Linked DNA regions of Mus musculus. The protein of the gene in region 2 purifies or fractionates together with the protein of the main gene of each other region. This does not show direct contact. Links are inferred from orthologs where the notes say so. Each region holds a gene or a part of one and is shown on either strand. Other genes may lie near its edges.

The links.
Region 1: the proteins of Tubb5 (region 2) and Arl2 purify together in Homo sapiens (co-immunoprecipitation; 3 studies listed by BioGRID and IntAct, counting the BioPlex papers as one, with this or other methods). This does not show direct contact. The link is inferred for Mus musculus from reciprocal best matches to the Homo sapiens genes TUBB and ARL2.

What each region holds. Positions count from the first base shown.
Region 1 is NC_000085.6:6,138,141-6,142,726, reverse strand, and holds the start of Arl2 (ADP-ribosylation factor-like protein 2), read left to right. Parts: upstream 1-1,589; 5' UTR 1,590-1,625; coding exon 1,626-1,690; exon of another isoform or gene 1,691-3,097; intron 3,098-4,586. UniProt on the Homo sapiens protein: Small GTP-binding protein which cycles between an inactive GDP-bound and an active GTP-bound form, and the rate of cycling is regulated by guanine nucleotide exchange factors (GEF) and GTPase-activating proteins (GAP).
Region 2 is NC_000083.6:35,833,219-35,835,616, forward strand, and holds the end of Tubb5 (tubulin beta-5 chain), read right to left. Parts: coding exon 1,764-2,398; 3' UTR 702-1,763; downstream 1-701. UniProt on the Homo sapiens protein: Tubulin is the major constituent of microtubules, a cylinder consisting of laterally associated linear protofilaments composed of alpha- and beta-tubulin heterodimers.

The DNA.
Region 1 (4,586 bases), on a different chromosome or scaffold from region 2:
GCACACATTCAAGAACACATATATGGTTACAATTAAATAGAACCCTAGCTCTGCCCGGTAGTGGTGGCGCATGCCTTTAATCCCAGCACTTGGGACGCAGAGGCAGGCGGGTTTCTGAGTTCGAGGCCAGCCTGGTCTACAGAGTGAGTTCCAGGACAGCCAGAAAGAAAGAGAGAAAAACCTACACAGAGAAAACCCCTGTCTCGGAAAAAGCAAAAACAAACAAAAAACAAAAAAAGAGAAACTAACTCTTTGGGCCAGTGAGAAATCTCACCAATTAAAAAAAAAAAAAAAAAAAAAAAAAAAAAAAAAAAAAAACTTGCTGAGAAAGTCTGATGCTAAATTCCCTGCCTGGAACCCACATAAAAGTGCGACAATCGGGGCTGGAGAGATGGCTCAGCGGTTAAGAGCACTGACTGCTCTTAACCTGAGTTCAAATCTCAGCAACCACACCGGTGGCTCACAACAACCTATAATGAGATCTGATGCCCTCTTCTAAGGGGTCTGAAGACAGCTACAGTGTACTTACATATAAATTAATCTTAAAAAAAAAGTGTGAGAATCAGCTCCACAAAGTTGTCCTCTGATCTCCAGTGGTATGTGCAGACACGCGCGCGCGCACACACACACACACACACACACACATACAGAGTTTACACACAACAATGATGATTGTTTTGAGACAGGGTCTCAGATGTGTAGCCCTTTCTGTCCTCAATATATATACAGACCAGGCTGCCCTCAAACTCACAGAGATCCACTTGTCTATGCCACCCAGGCATTGGAATTAAAGATATGTGCCAACACAACCAGCAAAGAAAAAAAAATTTTTTTTAAAGAACTCTTGTCAAAGTCATTTACTGAAGATAATCTGATTGTACAGCTAGTACATGCCAGCAGCCATGAGGCTAAGCACCAGGTGGGCTTCAGGTTTTTTATCGTTGTTTTTTGAGACAGGCTCTGCCCTGCCAGTTTTATCCTAACAGTTGGGATAGAGCGTCTCAACCTGATAGGGTCCTAGATAGCACTCAATCCTTTGTGCGGGTCTGGTCCCTGCATTGCGGGGAGCTTGGAACTCTAAACAACCCAAGGAGGCCATACTGTCCGCACATTTAGAAATGGCCCCTAGGGGGAGTCATCATCCTCAAGTGAACGCACAGAGCCATTTCCGACAGAGTCCCGGACCAGGACCAACGGTTTTCCGTCACTGGTAAATGAATGGAAGTCACAAGATGCACTGGTGGGAACCGTATTACAGTCCCCGGATGATTCGTCAGCTCTTTGTGGAACCAGATTCCGACTCCTAGCTCAGAATCTCTTCGCGGCTACTCCCTACCCAGACGAGATACTGCTCGAGAAAGTCAGCCTCTGTCTGGCATCCGACCGAGGCCTCGGAGTCGGAAGGCTTAGGGACTTCTCCCTTGTCCCCACCAACCCTCTGCCTTCCCGACAAGGGTTAACGCAGCAGGCTTCAAAGTCGCCGCAGCGCCTCTAGGGGGCGACGCCCTGCACTCCTGTGGTCACGTGACAACGAGGGCGGCCACAAGCGCCAGGCTGGCCAATAGGAGACGGGAGCGGGGTCCCGGGACTAGAAGAAACGGCGGCCGGGAGGGGGCTACGGGATCATGGGGCTTCTGACCATTCTGAAGAAGATGAAGCAGAAAGAGCGAGAGCTGCGGCTGCTCATGCTGTATCCTCCGAGCGCTAGAGCGGTCGCGAGGGTAGCGGGGCCCGCCGGGTGGGCGGAGCCGGGCGTGGGGGGGCGCGGCCGCCGTGGGTACCTATTGCCGGTGGTGCGTCACGCACGCGGCGCTACCACTGCTCGGCGCGGGGCCGGGGAGGGCCGTACCACTCTGCGGGGTGGGGGTTGGCGTGCAGAAGGCAGCCCGGTGGTCTCAAGGCCCGGCCTAGACTTGGGACTCCAGTATCACTGCGAGGCGCGACGCAGTGGTGGTGACTCGGACGTCACGCTGCCTCGGGCTGGCCCGAGCGTGGGCCCTGCTCCTCCCTGGCGCTGACCCCCTCCCCTTCATCTACGGGTGTAGGCCTTGGCGCTTCCCTTAGGGTCGGAATCCCAGGGTCTCGAGGACCGCCTAGGCTCCTGCGAGTAGGCGTGGACTCGGTTGGCCACAGGTCCCGCTGTCACTTAAGGCCACCAGCGACCTTTCACCGCATTAACTGGCACCTGCATCACCCGTCTTGCACTGTGCCGGGCCACCTAGGCATCTGCGATCCACAAAGTAGCAGAGGGAGAAAAGGAAATTTAATGTGCACGTAGAACTTTACCACTCGTGCGTGTTTTAGACAATTCTGAGAAAGACACTCATTAGATGACCTCCAAGCACCTATGTTAGGGAATTCGGTAAAACAGGGAAGCGAAAAAGGCTTCATTTCAGATATTCTGTGATGAAAGGGGAGAAAAAATTGATAAAGCAAGTAAGATATGTAGTGTAGGATGAGAAGAATAGAGTCCACAAGGAGGTAGAGAGAGCTGGGAAAACGTAAGCAGAGGACCTGCAAGTGCGAAGGCCCTGGAGGAGGATAAGACAGGCATGTTCAAGAAAGGTTGAGAAGGAAAGAGCTGGAGAGAGGGAGAGCCCATGGGCTGGGGCCATTTAGGCAGCTGGACTATGAAGGGAGCACAGGATGGTGGCTTAGACCATGGTGGTAGTAGGAGAGTATTATGACTTGCTGCTGAATGGGAGAAGACAATGAGGGAGATGTAGCCAAGCATGAACTGGTCTCTGGCCAGAGTGTTCAGAAGGACAAGGAGCCACTTGCTGAGATGAGAGACGCATGTCCCTGGGAAGACACCAACCCTGACTGTTGGGCAGGTAGGTAGCAGCCATCAGCCTAGAAACGATCATGGGATGGCCCAGCTGGGGAGTGCTGAGACCCAGGTGTAGACGCTTGTGTGAAGTCAGATGAGGGTAACAGGATGGGGTCTGGGAGAGGGCCAAGGAAAGAGCAGCAGCGCCCGGAGCAGAGCAGAAGCTGGGCCACCCGGCCAGTGGAGAGCAGTAAGGGGGTCTTCGGAGACCTACCTGGCAAAGTGAGGCTTCAGGAAGCATCAGGAGCCAGTCTGCTAACAGTAGACCTGTAGAAAGCAAGAGGCTAAGTAAAACTGGTGCAGTGGTGAAGAACCAGGGAACAGGGGTTCAGTGCCCAGTACCCACTTGGTGCTTCACAGCCTTGTGTAACTTCAGTCCTGAGGTCCTCGTGTAGGCAAAAACTCAAAATATTCTAAGCAAACAAAAAATGAGCATGGTATCGAACACCTCGAATGCCAGCGTTCAGAAGGTAAAGGCAGGTGAATCTACGGGCTTGAGTCCAACCCGGTCTACAGAGCAAGTTCCAGGCCGGCCAAGGCTACATAGACCTTGTCTCAAAAAAAAAAAAAACCAAAATGCAGGAAAAGTCCAACATGGTGTTACATGCCTGTAGTTCTGGCACTCAAGAGGCAGAGGCTGGAGAACTTTGACAAGTTTGAGGCCAGTTTGCGTTACATAGAGTTCCAGACAAAAAAAACAAAACAAAAGAAAACAAACAAACAAACAAAAACAATACAAGCCAAAAGATGGAAGTTGGTACAATGGAGTATAACACCTGTTCCCAGGATGCACCCCAGAGGAAGCTGTGGCCGACTCAGCAGATGGTGGGGGAGTGGGTGGAGACAGGTTCTGCTGCAGTAGTGCGCAGCACTCGAGGCGTGAGGCGAGAGTTTGGTGATGAGAGGAGAAGGGATGGAAGAGTGGATGTTGTTGGATTGACAAGACAATCTGCTGGCTTTCCAAGGTGAGAGTTGGGCTGCAGAAGGTGGAAGGTATTCACCCGTGCCTCTCAAAGGTGGGAGTCACAGAGCCAGAGTCAAGTGAGTAGGAAGAGGTCCTAAATGTAGAGCCTGTCCCTTCTCCCCTCCGCTCAGGCTTTGGCTGCCCCACAGTCTCACCTGCGGTTGAGCTCACCTATTGGCTTGTTCTCTGCAACGGAGGCTGTGGATCATTCCAGAGACAGATGAAGGTGGTTGCCACCTCTAGATACTTGCCCTTTACTTGGTCCTTCAGAAGGCTGGGCCCATCTGTTTTGGGCCTCAAGACCCCACAGAGCCTTGTCTGGTATCTTAAGTTGAAAGCCATTCCTTCCAGGAATGTCCTTCACTGGTTCCAAGTACCCAACCTTCTCTTCTGCTTTATTTAGTCTTTAATTTTTTTTTTTTAAAGATTTATTTATTTATTATATGTAAGTACACTGTAGCTGTCTTCAGACACTCCAGAAGAGGGCGTCAGATCTCCTTACGGATGGTTGTGAGCCACCATGTGGTTGCTGGGATTTGAACTCCGGACCTTCGGAAGAGCAGTCGGGTGCTCTTACCCACTGAGCCATCTCACCAGCCCTAGTCTTTAATTTTTTAACACTTATTTATGGATGTGAGAACTTTGTCTGTACACTGGGGTGAGTGGCTGGTGCCCACAGAGGTCAGCATTTGGTTGTGAACCACCAGGTGGATGCTGGGAACTGAACCCAGGTCTTCTATAAGAGCAACATGTGCTCTTTACTGCTGAGCCATCTCTCCAGCCCCATTACTT
Region 2 (2,398 bases):
GGATGTGGAATGTGTTGGGAGGGTTGCTGATGGGGTGTCAGGTGCTATTTTCAAGATTGTGGGCAGCTTTGGACCCACAATCTTCGATTGAAAGCTGGCATTAGAGGTTTGTCCAATCGAAATACCTAGAGAGCTGGGGATGTCACTCAGTGGTCCCCAGCCCTGAAACTGCTAGGCATGCCACATGTACTATCTCAGCTATTAGAAAGGCAGGGGTAGGAGTCTCACCTAATTAGGGACAACCTTGGTGTACTGGCTAGTTTTGTGTCAACTTGACACAGGCTGGAGTTATCAGAGAAAGGAGCTTCCGTTGCGAAAATGCCAACTGTAAGACATTTCCTCAATTAGTGATCAAGGGGGTAAGGGCCCCTTGTGGGTGGGACCATCACTGGGCTGGTAGTATTGGGATCTGTTAGAGAGCAGGCTGAGTAGGCCAGGGGAAGCAAGCCAGTAAGAAACATCGCTCCATTGGCTTCCTGCCATGCTTGAGTTCCAGTCCTGACTTTCTTTGGTGATGAACAGCAGTGTGGAAATGTAAGCTGAATAAACCCTTTCCTCCCCAGCTGCATCTTGGTCATGATGCTTGTGCAGTAATAGGTAAAATCCTGACTAAGACACTTGGGAACAGTATAATTCAACCTGGGACCGGTTCCTCCACCAGCAGCTTTAACTACCCCTGAATGAGCACACAGCCTCACAGCCTTTTTCCAATTCCCATTTATTTTTGGCTCTGGGGCGATGTCAACTTTTCAATATGAAAAAAAAAAAAAAAGCAGGTACAACACGAAATAGAAAGGTAGGAAATGACCAAGCCAAGGGCAGGAGGAGCATGGGGCAGAGGTGGTGACAGCCCATCTGGGCAGTGTCTGAAAGACCCAGGTGGAAACATACTTTCCCAAGTGTGGAGTTTCAGCGGGAATTGGGAGTGTTCAGAGACCAAGACCAAGACCTTGCCGCACCCCCAACCCCCATCTCTCCGAGAAAGGAGAACCAATACAGGGAAGACACTTCCAATGGCAGATTTGGCTCAGGACAGCTGGGAGGATATAAATGGAGATAATACTGTTAATACCTCTCCTGAGGCTGAGAGATGAGGCAGGAGAAAAACAAAACAAAGCCCTGCTGACTGAAAGCATAGGTGGATTCTAAATGGCCCTGACTGGAAAACCCCACCCCCTTCTCTTCCTGGTGGTCTCTACCTAGCATCCCTGATCCACTACTTTGCTTTAAGATGATGGTTACTATCCGAGTTCTTAGAATTGGGCTGGGTTCTACACAGGATCTGGAGCAGACCTCAGGTTTCTGGAGAATATTCTGGAATATTAACTGGACAGTCAAATAATAATTTAAAAAAATGGATACTTGTTGGGTGATAGTGGCACACGCCTTTAATCCCAACACTTGGGAGGCAGAGGCAGGCGGATTTCTGAGTTCCAGGACAGCCTGGGCTATATATACAGAGAAACCCTGTCTGGAAAAACCAAAAAAAAAAAAAAAAAAAAAAAAAAGATACCAGTAGGAAGCACAGGGTAACAACCAGAATGTCAGAAATCTAAGTTTGTCAGAGTGGAAAGAGAAAGGAGACATTCCACAAACAAATATTTATTGAGTGCCTGCCATGTGCCAGGCACCATTTACCCCCAATGAGAAAACAGAACAAAACAAATACAAGACAGAGGCAGCAGAAAGAAACTGGAGGACAAAGGGCAGTTGGAGAAAGCTGAGGGATCTAAGCAGCCTGAGCTGATGCAGGGCTCTCTGCCTTAGGCCTCCTCTTCTGCCTCCTCTCCGAAATCCTCTTCCTCTTCCGCGGTGGCATCCTGGTACTGCTGGTACTCAGAGACGAGGTCGTTCATGTTGCTCTCAGCTTCGGTGAACTCCATCTCGTCCATGCCCTCACCCGTATACCAGTGGAGGAAAGCCTTCCGGCGGAACATAGCCGTAAACTGCTCAGAGATGCGCTTGAAGAGCTCCTGGATGGCTGTGCTGTTTCCAATGAAGGTGACTGCCATCTTGAGGCCACGCGGTGGGATGTCACAGACAGCTGTCTTGACATTGTTGGGGATCCATTCCACGAAGTAGCTGCTATTCTTGTTCTGCACGTTGAGCATCTGCTCATCCACCTCCTTCATGGACATCCGTCCACGGAAGACGGCGGCAACTGTGAGGTACCGGCCGTGGCGCGGGTCGCAGGCGGCCATCATGTTCTTGGCATCGAAGACCTGCTGGGTAAGTTCAGGCACAGTGAGGGCCCGGTACTGCTGGCTTCCACGGCTGGTGAGAGGGGCAAAGCCAGGCATGAAGAAGTGGAGACGTGGGAATGGCACCATGTTGACAGCCAGCTTTCGAAGGTCAGCATTAAGCTGGCCCGGGAAACGGAGGCAGGTGGTGACGCCGC